Drosophila melanogaster: one gene and its partner. The gene in region 1 interacts genetically with each later gene. Each region holds a gene or a part of one and is shown on either strand. Other genes may lie near its edges.

Region 1 (6,723 bases):
GCTTAGAATGGGGCACACTCGAAATTAGAGTCGCTTTTTCTCTCCCCCGCTCTTTTGGCGCCGTTCAAAATTTTGTGTGTGCTTTTTTTTTTGTTTTGTTTTGGAGCCACCTCTGCGCAGGCGCGCCTGGGAACCAGTTTTGTGGCAGCCAGTGGTGTGTTGTTGCTCGACCGCTTTCTGTGTGTTGCCAACAAGGCGGCCCTTGTACATTCTGTGGGCCTGGAAAAAGGGGCGGCCAGACTCGTTCACAAACTGGCACAAAGCAATGAACTGTTGAATAAAACAAAACCGAAAACACACCTGAGAATCTTTTCCGGTGCGTCCCCAAAGAGCAACACCATTTCATCCACCAGAATCACTAGAACCACCAGATCCACCGGAATGAACCTCTAGAACCTTCGGAACCCACAACCTGGGCAAACACAGACTTTTGAAGTATAAACGCAGTACGTGGGCGTTGCACCGCGGTAAGGTTTTCAAAATAAATTAAGGGCTGTGAGTAATTATGGAAAAAATGTACAAAATCATATCAGGAAGTGACTTTACACTTTCCACAGGGCATATGATGTGAGTAGAATGAACTTATAGAAGTAATAATTCCATAAATATTTTATTATTTATTAAATGGCTGCTACCTCATATATAAGCTTTAGTTTGTGTGTTTAGCACTACAACATGCTATTAATATGGTCTGAAATAAATAATAAAACCACGCATGCTGAGCCCGTTAATTGCCTTCAGAACCTTAGAGTATGTTCCCCAATTTCCCACCTCAATTACCAAACAATTTGTGTTCGATTTTGGTGCGTTGTGGCCCACGGTATCGTTGTTGGTGTGACTCAATGCTAACAATGGAATTTGTTGTTGCTGGCAGTACGCTGCGTATGCAAATAGCGACAGATAAAACGGCACTACGTGATCACCGCGATAAAGACAATCCAACGGACAGCATTGAACAACGCCCACAACTTTTAAACATTTGTTTGCATCGAATAAATTTTTGGAATTAATATCGTGTAAAAGCGAAAGCTGCCACTGTCTTTTCAGTTTAGTATAATATTTTCCCCACTATGTCATATTGTTTCTCACATTTGTGGTTTTTGTGCATCGGTAATTTCCCAAGGTGGCTGGCTAATCGATGCAGTCGCAGAAAACGTGGAACATTGCAAGGAGAAACTAGACAGAACTAAGCAGTTGTCTCGACTTAAAGTTACCTAATTACAACTTTCTATGCTTAGTCCAAAATCATACCAAGAGTCCACATCCCAATTATTTCGGCTATAACCAAAATTGGTCCTGAAATGTGCGCCCTGCATTCTCAGTATTGCATTCAATTCCACTTCCGCCACAATTCCCCACTCCCCACTAAGTACTGGGTAGTAAAGTACGCCCTAACCTTTAAAGGACTGGGGCAAATCAGTTCTTTTTCAGTTATACTCTGGCTATTTTTATAGACCTGGCTAACGACTTGCACTAATGGCCAACGTCAGGCAATGGTCGCGGCCGGCTGCGTAGGCCCACGGAACATGGCCCACGACCCGCGTCACGGCCGATTGCACTTTAACACTTGACCAGGTTGAAACACCGGACACCGGAGAGCGGAGAACGCGGGTGTGTCCAGCGTACAATTTCCATTCCATTCTCGATTTTCATTTATGTACGTGCCAGAGAATTTCCATAAACTCGCGGGGTCACGTGTTGTTATCGTTAACGCAATGCAGGTAGTTTCGGTTCATTTGTGTTTTCCCTCCACTTTTCCAGCGTGCCTAGTATACCTGTGCCGCGATTTTTCCCCTGAAAATGATGGATTATATCTGTTTAGGGCGGAAATTCAAACGAAAGCCGTACAGAAACCACTCTCGAAGTGAAGATGACGCTGATGATCTTCGCTGTCGGTGTCTGGATTTTACGATGGAAGCTGCCATAAACCAGTTGCTGTGATGCCTTTCAGGGATTTCCCAGCCCAGACATTCATTTTCTCTTCTTTTTATTCGTCGGTTTTCCTTGTCAATCATAAACCAAAGTCATTTGATAAATTCTACGATAAAAGGTATACGAAAATACAGGGCCTATAGAGAGGTTGGTTCTTTACAATTAAAAGAAAATGTGTTCATGGAAATGAATGAATTATAGCTCTTTATTAGGGCTTTTCACTCGTTTGGATTTTTTTTAATTATTAAGCTGAAAATTTGTTTACTATTAGCTTCAAGAGCTGATAAACTGGTTTACTATGTTTTCGCTGCACTCCAGGGCTTTCCCTACTTCGAGTTGGAAAACTCTTTCTCTATCTGTGCTCCCTTCTCCTGAGTGTTCTTCTTATCAACCTATCAACGGAATTGCGGTATTGCTGACGTTGAGTTGGCCGCGCTTTTGCAACTGTTGTACTTCACTTTCCGGCCAAAAGATAAGATTGCGCGTAACAACAGCCGGATGGCTGGCCGTTTGGAGGGTTGGTACTCGAATTGTAAATAAATAGACCCAATTTTTGAGGTCGTTTTTGCACAATCCGTTGGAAAAAGGGGGCAGACAATGCTAAGCCAGCCAAACAATTGAGCCGCGGACAACATGTAACAGAAAATTACACATAATGAGTCAGCAAGAGTTGTGAATCAATTATTATGATCGTTATGCGATAAGTTTCACAGATTTCACTGTTGTGATATCGCTAAAAGCGCTTTGAAAATGCAGACAAATGAGGTTTTATTACCAAAAAATCGCACCAGTATCAACAAATGCAGAAACAATAATTTGTTACGATTCCCTGTTATTTACCTAAAAATATGATATCCATTTGTAAGCTACAGTGTGTAAAAAATGCGGGTCACGTTAAAATATCTCTTCTGGTTTCAGTAATTAATTCTTCTTGGCCAAGATTGCTAACATTAACCGCCTTTGAAGCTATAATTTGATTAATTATCTCTCTCAGCGACTAAAGTTGTACTCTACTAAATATAAATTTATACGCAATCGAAGCTAATACATTTCTAAGCATTCCTTTTGTTTGCAAGATAAGACCGAGCACACAATCATCAAAAATTAGAAATGAGTGTATAATTAACACAATCAAACTTCAGGTAAGCCAGCTCCATGAGTCACTTCTTGAAGGAAAACCCGTTGAACGAGTTTTTCGTAGGCCCGAAATCATTGAAAATCCAAATTCCTTTTACCCAACATGACTTGGTCAACATCCCCAAAACACACGAATGCCCCACCACACACACACATGACCTGTTGCTCTTTTTTTTCGATTACGAGCTTTTGAAACATCAGCAAATGTTTAAGCTAAAGAATGCATGTGGCTCATCATATAAATTATTTACAGTGTGACTTCCGTAACTCAATCTCATTAACTCATTAATCATATGAGCAGCCAAAGGCTTAAACACAATAACAACATTACAAATTCCATTTAAAATGGGCATCTAATATACATTTTAATAATTTATAACGGGCAAGTTCAGTGCTGTGGAGTGATCACTGTAGCTTAAGAACCGCGTAAACACCGTGTTGCTCTCTCATGTCCCCATCTTCGCTCTCTCCTCCTGAATGTCCTCGACTGCCTATCGCCCTCCCTCTCACTCACTCGCTAGCTCCCTCTCAGGGTTCTCTCTCACCTGTTGCTAAGTAAATAAGTATGAAGAGCGGTATCCATTGAGGCGACGAATAAACTGAAATGGCGCGCTTGAGCAAATGCGACGTAATTTGAGCTGCGCTTTTCGTGCGGTCTCGACTTCTTGCTGTTGTTGTTGCTGTTTCTACTGATGCCGCCACTGTTGTTGTTGTGGTCGTTGCTGTTTCTGCTTGCCGCTGTTTTTGTTGTTGCGACAGTGACGCATTGGCGATTTTAGCCATGATCGCTGATTTGTTGGCTCAAGTCGAGTTTTCGTATTGGAAAGGGTTGCTTTTGGCTAGATATTATTGCTATTCAAACGATACTCATTGAGCTTGTTGTTGTTGGTAATTGCATTCTCCCTTCTCTCTGCTCCACGCAAACACTCATACGCACACACACACACGCGCGCAATCGGCACTTGGCTTAGAACAGGTTATTTTTATTTTTTTTAAGTTATATTCCTCTTTTTCTGCTAGTTGTATTATTTGCAAACTTTCGCACGCGACACTTTCTAGCCTGAATTTGAATATTGAGCACAGAGATTCCACTTTGAGCCAACTAATTTGCCATTTCTTCCCAGGCCACGATTCTGAATCACACCAACACACACACACACATACGAGCGCCGAAGACTTGGCTTAAAAGAGAGGTGCGCTGTTCTTGTTGTTGTCGCTGCCCTTTTGAACTGCAAGCAGCACACACACACGCGCGCGCACACACATTGGCCAAAACGGGGCGAAAAAAACGTTACGAGCGCGAGCAACCAATAAAACGTACGTACGAGCAGCAAGAAAAATGTTCGACCGTTTGAATCGGCGATATCCGTTTCGTGGGCTTATATATGGTGCAGTGTGACCAGTCCGCTTGGCTAGGTTTGGCTGGATTTTGATATAGAGTCAACATGCATGGCCACACTGATATTCAAGTTGCACAGTGGTACAATATGTACAAAAAAAATATTTTGTTCTTGAATTGATTTCGCACAAGAATTAAACCGTTAATTACATTTTCATAAAACTTTACTGATATAACTATTCAATATATCAATTAATATCGTGTGTATGTCTAGGTGACATTCCAAAATACACGAGCATAGTAAAGTTTAATTTATGGCGGGAACATGAAAACGTAAACTTCACTTAAATTACCAACGGCAGTTATGGGTTTTGTAAGTTGTGACCTACATCATCATAATCCAAATAGAATAAACCTTTTATAATACCGCAAATCTTAACTTGCGAAAATTCCGCACTGCACATATTTTCAAGTCGGAATGCATAAAAGTAAATTCCCCATAAATCAAGAAGCCGGCGGATAGCAACTACGTACTTAATGTAAATGTAAACGGCCACAAAGCGCCGACTTATCGTTTCAAAGAGAACTCAGCATAAACAGGCAGCACCGACAACATGTCGTCAATTTTTGGAGGTCTAGGTGGGACTATATAATGTGGGTAAGCCTGGTTAGAAATCACAGCAGTTGGGGAATTAGCAAAATGGGCAAATCGCAAAATAATACTGGTTCGCTTTTGCTACTGATTATACTGGGCATTTCTCTGGGAGATTCCATGCCCCTGGAGGATATGGACTCCCAGGAAATGATTGACTTGACAGATCTTGGAGATACTCTGTTCGGTAATCCGGACGTGGAGACGACTGGAGCTTTGGTTGAGGCACTCGGTGTGGAATCCCCGCTGAATCCCGAGGAGCTGGGAACCTACCACGAAGGTGACATCCTGATTCCACTGAGCTACAGGGACGCCCGATTCAATGGCACTCGTAATGGCATTTTGGCGCTGAGTTCCCGCTGGCCGGGCGGCGTTGTGCCCTACGAGATCAAAGGTCCTTTTACCAGCCAGGAATTGGGGAATATTAACCACGCTTTTAAGGTGAGGTTTCAGTAATAGTCCCTATTACAATTTACAAATAAGATTTTGTATCTTAGGAATACCACACCAAAACATGCGTGCGCTTCAAGCCCAGGACCACCGAAAAGGATTACATCTCCATTGGTAGCGGAAAGTCTGGCTGCTGGAGTAGCATTGGGCGCTTAGGTGGTCGCCAGGAAGTGAATCTGCAGTCGCCCAACTGCTTGCGTACATACGGCACTCCCATTCACGAGCTGATGCACGCCCTGGGCTTCTTCCATGAGCAGAATCGTCACGAACGTGACTCCTATGTGCGCGTGATGAAGGACAACATCAAGCCCGAGATGATGGTCAACTTCGAGAAGTCCAGTTCCAGGACACAGTACGGCTTCGGCGTGGAATACGACTATGGCAGTGTGATGCACTACTCCCCCACCAGTTTCACTCGGAATGGCCAGCCCACGTTGAAGGCACTGCGTGCCACATCCGATGCCAGCCAGATGGGTCAACGCAAGGGCTTCTCAGCCGGAGATGTGCGCAAGATCAACGCAATGTACAAGTGCAAGGTGTAGATGACAACTGCAGTCGAAGCATTCGGTAACAGTATTTTGACAAACATAAATATTTATCATCAACAATCAATTGTGTTTACTGAAAAAATATGTCTATGGGTACAATATTTGGTTAGATAATTAACAATCGCCTATGTGCGTCGTGTCTTGTACTGCTCCGGGAACTCTCACGCCATCCCATCCTAGTGGTACGGCAGGTTCTTATTTGTCTCAAAGAAATAGTTGCCCTGCATGTTGAGCTCCTTGCAGATCGTCGAGAATCTTCGGATGGCGTTGTACGTGCCGAGGTTACTTCCATCTTCACAGGGAAACACAAAGCATAACAGAAGATACTATATATACAGCACAGCAAGTGTCCGATTGCATGCATTGGTTGGTTGATTGGTTAGTAATCCGGATCATTCACTCCAGTCAGCGGATGGTTAGTGGGGACGCGCCTTTTGGATGGTGGCCTTACCTGGGCCCGCGAAACCGGCACCCGTCGCATTCAAATCCAGATTCATGTAGAGAGCCATGTTTCCGGTTGATCCGTGCCGAGATCGATTGTTTAAGAAGTCCCGGATATGCTGAACGATCAAATCGATGGCCACTGAAAGGAAAAGAGCGGACAATTAGTTCGCACTCAGTTTGGAAATATCAAATCGTAATGCTGCACCATCGTAAGCATTGCA
Region 2 (6,885 bases), on another chromosome or scaffold:
GCTGGCGGAAGCTCAAATGGCACTTGCCGTGCATTTAACATTAGTTCGTTAGCTCCGGCAAATGGCAAATGGTCAACAGCAAAAGGCCCTTTGCCTGCTTGGAACCAAAGGACGGCGACCTCTTGGCCAGAAGTCAGCACAGTATGGCCAACGAAAATGTCAACTTGAGGCCAAGAAAGGACTCAGACAAAGGCTATATGTATATATGTAGTCGGGAATGGGGATAAATGCATGCGCCAGGTGGGGATGTTGGGCCAAAGGGTGAAGTATAACAAAAGAGCTGAAAATTAAAAAGAGACAAGCAATTAAAATGGCTTACAAGCGCGCGAACAAGGGGGTCCCCTCCTGAACTGCACCTACTCCGGCTCAGACGGAGCTCGGAGCTCAGCCGGTGTCCGGATGGCCGAAAGCAGGAGTCATCTCGCCATCATCCCCGCATGACTGTCCCTGCTTCTGCTGATGCGTAAGTTGTCAGTTGCTGAATGGCCAAGTTCCCCACTCTGACACCACTCCCTTTCCCCCCCCCCTTGCTCCAGCAGACATTTGCGGCAGATTCTGGCTGTGGCAAGGCATTCACCGCTGACCAGGACTTTGCATAATGCGCATACGCCCCGTTGGCCCGTGGGCGGTTTTTCGCCATTGAGTGTTACTTCCGGTTTTAAGGAGCTACAGGCCAACACTACCATGGCCCGAACAATTACAACAATTGGTTGTAACAACGCGCGCAGTAAGCCACCTGAAAAATAAAAACAGGAACTGCAATCCGAAGGGAATCGACTACAAAGTACTCATTAGATGCGTTTTAAAGCTTTGGTTTGGAGCTTCCAAAAGAGTTTTTAGTGTTATTTGCCTAGTTTTAATCATACCTAATTCTGCTAAAATGACTTTTAACTTCCTTTAAACCTGCACTACGGTTTTTAATTCATTTCTTCTGACTCCGATTGTGAATTCCAATCTGAACGGAAAAGACGGCATAACCGCACAGGCTGCAGTGGCTGCAATCCAAGGAGCCGGCGGGCATGAAATGCGTATGTGGGACCCATAATGAAATACATGGCATATGCAGAGACCCGGATCGGGCGAACAATGTGTGAATGCAACTCCACAGCCGGTCGTGGCTCCGGCATCCTCATCCTGTGCACTCCGTCCCGGATGCCCGCCGTCACGATGGCAATCATAATAATGGCATACAATTTAACAGCATTGCGTATCGGAAGGAAATCTCGGTGGCCGCAATCTGTGCCCCTCGTCTTCGGGCCACTGTGACTTGGAGTCGGACTCATTGCATTTGCCTACTTATGTACTCGGGGGTTATGTAACCCGGGGGTTGTGGGAGCAGGGGCGTGGCACTGGGCGGGCACTGCAGGACGGGATTAAATGGGTCACTTTGACCGCTGCACAAATGACAATTGCCGGTCAGCAAATCCTGGGGAATTGCTGCAGTTGTTGGCTCGGCTTAAATGCATATGCATTAACAGAATAAATTATGCATTTTTCGCACATAAAATTCTGTCGCAGTCCAGGCCATCATCTCCCATGACTCCTTCCTGGGCCATTGCCGGTGTGTCAACTGAGTCATTATGGCTGTGTCCCAAGTCTCTGTTCACGTGCTCTTCGGTGGTTATTAAAGGTGTCACTCCAGTAGCTCATATTAAATGGATTCTACTCATTATCTATTCCAAGAATTATGATTATCAACTATTATGTATTAATGTAATCAGTTTAAATATTGGTTTTAAAGTGTTTATTTTATACGGATATCCACATAATATAGATTGATAACAAGTAGCAGACCAGTCTGCCTCCAATTACTGTTCACCTGAAAACCGCGTGGTGGAGCTGGGGGGCACAAGCTTCTCCGATGGCTTCGGTCATGGTCAGGCTGGCGACACGGCTGCTGGAAGGCTGGGAGAAGCTAGTGTCTGCCACTCCTATTCCTTTCGGCCGACGTGTCCAGGCCGAGGTCCGCTTTGATTGCAGTCGCCAATTAGCGTAATATTCGCAATATGCTTTTGTCTGCGCATTCATTTTTATTATTTTTCCCTCGCCTTCTGAGGCACGCGGCACGCCTTAGGGGCACGAAGGGTCTGCTCTGGTCCGGTTTCCATTCCGTGAATATTGGCCAGCGGTGTCATGGCAAAAAGTTCGCAGCGCCAGATGGTTTTAATTGCTGGTGGGGATGTTTTTTGCCTAAGTCTTTGGAAATTAGTTTAAAGCATTTTGAGCGCGATGGCAAGCAACTAATTGATATTGCTTAATATTTATGGCTTGCCACTTTGGTGGGGGGAGCAGTAAGAGCGAAATGAGCGGAAGTGCAGTGCAATTTAACAAATGGAAAACCCCGGAAATGCAAATTGGAGCAGAAACAGCGACAGTCATGGCAACAAAGTGCTCACTGAAACCGGAGAGTTGCAAAGAAATTAGCCGAGTCGAGTTGAGTCGAATGTGTGTCATGCACTCAACTTAACAGCGCCAACGGCAGGTGATTACCCTGCGTTACGCCCCAAACATTCTCTACTCTTCTGAAGCTGATAAATCCGTGTGACGTACACGCCGTCTGGCTGGTGCCCAACATGGCCGGCCCATCGATACGATTGCGATTCAGATTCATTCACCCGCCATGACACCGATGTGCACACGGTTTTCTTGGGCCGAATGTCCGACGGCCATATCGCTTCGGCACAATGTAAACAATGAGAGTTGTTGGGCCCGGGGGACCTTATCAGTAAGCAGCATAGGCGGGAAAATAGATAGGACGTTGAGCAATCGATATTCTGGTGGAATCAAAACGGCCGAGCGATTAACAGATTTTAAGGGCTTTAATGCTAAGCACACACTCCCTGATGCAACTTAATGGTACACTTAATCCTAGACATTCCTCAAAGTATTCCCTATGTACAAAAGATATGGCAAAGAGAGCTACTCCTCATCCTTGATGCAGTTCTCGACCAAATCCCTCAGATTGGGGTTCTCCATGGCCGCAGCGATGCGCTCCTTGTCATTGATTTGCTTGTTAACTGGGGAAACGTAATCATTTTTACTTAGAACACATATGTATGATAATAGTATCTGGTTGGTCCAACTTACTCTCTTCCTCGGTTTGATGCGCTCCCTTCTTGATGTATATGTCTAGCTTTATGTTGTGCGGAAGTCCGCGTTCTACTTTCACGCGTATACAGAGTCCAATAAGCGTGGCCAACGAGCAATGTGGCACTGTGGGGTTAAACTCGATGCGAACCTGAAAGAATTAAGAGACAAATACCATGCATTTCAACTTTTTACTACACAAAAGATTTATGAGGTGTGGATTTAGTATAATACAAGTACTTTAAGCTATGAGATCAATTTTAAAGTCATTTTGAAGCTAAATCGTTAATCCTTTCAAATATTAAGCAACAATAGTGATGAAAGCAAATAAACACACGCGCAGATTTAACTTATGATGAAATGATGATTAGGGCTCAAGCTTATGGCTTATAAAGATATTGAGTAACGTACAACTGAGACATTGGAGCGCGTGGGCGGCATCACAAAGATTCCATCCTCGTAGACAACGTTGAGGTCCTCCAAAGTGCACGGCTTCTCGGGATCGCGAATGCCGCGCAACAGATCTGTGTAACGACAAGAGAAATTACATAACTAGGCCAAAGTGAAAAAGAATGCCATTAAATATCGAACCGTAGATGGTTTCCTGCAGTTCCGTCTGATTCTTGTAGCCCAGTTCATGGAGCAGTGCGTCCTCCCCGAAGGCAATGGCCTCATCATCCATCGACATCTGGCTCGTTTTGCGCACTAACTCGTCGGCGTTCTGGCTGCGTCCGCTGATACTGGCGCTGCTGCTGCCCGTACCGCTTTCACTGCTGCCCGTTCCGCCCGCTCTCCCACTATCGCCGCCGCACGACGACGTCACAGTTGCGACCGAACTGACGCCGCTGTCGGATTCGGAGAGCTTGCGCTTTATGTAGGACAGCATGTTGTGGCACCTGTGCGTGGTGTTATCTCGCCTGGTTTTATCTTTACCGTTGTGTGCTTGGGTGATTACAGCAGCATAATTCGGTCGGCAGGCGATCTATTTGCTTGGTAATTCTTCACTTTTGCGGTGCAAATTGTTGGAAATAAGCGATGGCATCAGCTGATTATTGTTTTTCTGCCGACCAGGGCTGCAGAGTAGGTATAAGTGCTAAGCCGTCTTCGATAAGTCTATCGATAGTGATATCGATACCCTGTCATCTCTGGCGCAACCATTTGAAATTCGTCATCCCTGATCCTCTTATCAGTTCTTGTCTGCGCTTTTGTCCAAATATTTGTTGTTTACCCACCAATTTTGCCGGCTAATAATTGGAAAAAAATTTATTTACAAGCTGAAAGACTATATTTTATTATAGCAGCGGTAAAAATATTCTGCAAAAAGTTTTCACCTGCACAGTGGGCGTTGTGGCAAGATGTGGACGAGTTGCAGCTGTCTAACCCATCGTACTTAAGTCAAAAACCTCGATTAGCAGGCTTTGCATATGTCAAATTCGCGCACTTTTCCTAGGCCGTCGGGTGCATCAGGAAATTATTCATTACGTTTTAGTTAGTCGTACGAATTGTTTCTTATTTGTGAAAGCTCGTCGAACAGAAGCAAATTTCGCTTTAACCTTTTGAAAAATAAAGGAAAAAGTTCGTAAAAAGCGAAAGAGCCCATCGAAACCAACACGAAAAAGGAGTTCAATAAAGGTGAGCCCAAAAGAAAAGTGCTAAAGTGTGGTGAAAGTGAACATACATACATACACATAAAAACATCTGTGTAAAAGATGGCGCCACTGGAAGAAAACCGTTAGTTGTAGCTTTGGGTTTAATAGACTCTTGAAAATTCGTAGCCCGTCACTTCATATCGAAAATCTAGTGAAAGCGGTTCGCGTTTTGCAAAGGAAATCGGTTCCTTAAAAAAAAAAAATTCTAGTGACTCAGCTAATTTCGTTATCCGAATTTTCTAGATTGCTTTTCGCAGATCATATAAGAAAATGGTTGCCGATAACATCGATGCCGGAGTGGCCATTGCCGTCGCCGATCAATCCTCGTCGCCCGTGGGCGATAAAGTTGAGCTGCCGGCCGGTAATTATATCCTGGTGGGCGTGGATATCGACACCACTGGACGTCGTCTAATGGATGAGGTAATACCCCCTGACTGCCGTTAGATCGTTCGTCGTTCGGTCCTAACCCCACTTGCGATAAACCCACAGATTGTCCAGCTGGCCGCTTATACACCCACCGACCACTTCGAGCAGTACATCATGCCATATATGAATCTGAATCCAGCTGCTCGCCAGCGTCATCAAGTTCGTGTTATTTCGATTGGCTTTTATCGTATGCTGAAGTCGATGCAGACTTATAAGGTGAGTCCAGTGCAGTCCAGTCCATTTAATAGTGGCAGTCAAGTATTGAAGCATCCACAATTCAACATACAATATCCTCTCAGATCATTAAATCCAAGTCTGAGATCGCTGCCCTCAAGGACTTCCTCAACTGGCTTGAGCAACTGAAGACCAAGGCGGGTCCCAGCTCGGACGGGATTGTGCTTATCTATCATGAAGAGCGCAAGTTCATTCCCTACATGATCCTGGAGTCGTTGAAGAAGTACGGCCTGTTGGAGCGCTTCACCGCGTCGGTGAAGTCGTTTGCAAACAGCATCAATCTGGCCAAGGCTTCCATTGGCGATGCCAACATAAAGAACTACAGTCTGCGAAAGCTTTCCAAGATCTTGTCCACGACCAAGGAGGAAGACGCGGCTTGCTCTGCGTCCACATCTGGATCTGGATCTGGCTTGGGATCTGGATCTAGTATGGTGTCCGATTCGGTATCGATATCCCCCAGGGACAGTACCGTGACCAATGGTGACGATAAGCAATCTAGCAAGAACGCCGTTCAGGGTAAGCGGGAACTGTTTGATGGCAATGCCAGTGTTCGTGCCAAATTGGCCTTTGATGTGGCCCTTCAGCTGAGCAACTCCGACGGCAAGCCGGAACCAAAAAGCTCGGAGGCATTGGAGAATATGTTTAATGCCATACGTCCGTTTGCCAAGTTGGTGGTGTCCGATGTCCTGGAGCTGGATATCCAGATCGAAAATTTGGAGCGTCAAAACTCCTTCCGTCCGGTGTTCCTGAACTACTTCAAGACCACTCTGTACCATCGTGTGCGTGCCGTAAAGTTCCGCATTGTGCTGGCCGAGAATGGGTTCGATTTGAACACGCTAAGTGCCATCTGGGCAGAGAAAAACATCGAGGGCCTGGACATAGCCCTGCAGTCAATTGGCCGGCTAAAGAGCAAGGACAAGGCGGAGCTGCTCGAGCTTCTGGACAGCTATTTCGATCCCAAGAAGACCACGGTGAAGCCGGTTGTCAAGGGTAACAGCAACAATAATAACAATTATCGTCGTCGCAATCGACGCGGCGGCCGCCAATCGGTGAAGGACGCTAGGCCATCCAGCTCCCCATCGGCTAGCACCGAGTTTGGAGCAGGAGGTGACAAGTCGCGCAGCGTTTCCTCGTTGCCCGACTCTACTACCAAGACTCCCTCGCCAAACAAGCCGCGTATGCACCGTAAGCGCAACTCGCGTCAAAGCTTGGGTGCAACCCCCAATGGACTCAAGGTTGCTGCTGAAATATCCTCCTCAGGCGTGTCTGAGCTCAACAATAGCGCTCCACCTGCCGTAACCATAAGCCCAGTCGTGGCACAACCCTCACCGACACCGGTGGCCATCACGGCCTCCAACTAAAATCCAGTTCTGGTGGATCCGTAAAGTAAATATCTTATATTGAGATACTTCTGCCATTTGCTTTGTAGATAACGTAGTTAACGAGGGGTAAGCCTTCATGTAGATTGTTGATTAATTTTATGAATTGC

What was found.
Region 2: of crb (region 1) and galla-1, changing one suppresses a phenotype caused by changing the other (phenotypic suppression), as found in Drosophila melanogaster (one study listed by BioGRID).

What each region holds. Positions count from the first base shown.
Region 1 is NT_033777.3:24,292,756-24,299,478, reverse strand, and holds the start of crb (crumbs), read right to left. Parts: upstream 4,402-6,723; 5' UTR 3,853-4,401; coding exon 3,615-3,852; intron 1-3,614. Other genes in the region: CG5715 (uncharacterized protein), read left to right, coding at 5,109-5,501, 5,558-6,052; Uck (Uridine-cytidine kinase), read right to left, coding at 6,235-6,350, 6,510-6,641.
Region 2 is NT_033778.4:20,668,472-20,675,356, reverse strand, and holds galla-1 (galla-1), read right to left. Parts: upstream 4,154-6,885; 5' UTR 3,974-4,153; coding exon 3,679-3,973; intron 3,612-3,678; coding exon 3,499-3,611; intron 3,239-3,498; coding exon 3,088-3,238; intron 3,018-3,087; coding exon 2,920-3,017; 3' UTR 1,862-2,919; downstream 1-1,861. Other genes in the region: exu (exuperantia), read left to right, coding at 5,007-5,156, 5,226-5,378, 5,462-6,757. UniProt on the Drosophila melanogaster protein: Component of the crb-galla-Xpd (CGX) complex which is essential for proper mitotic chromosome segregation in early embryos. The CGX complex is also required for cell proliferation in developing wing disks.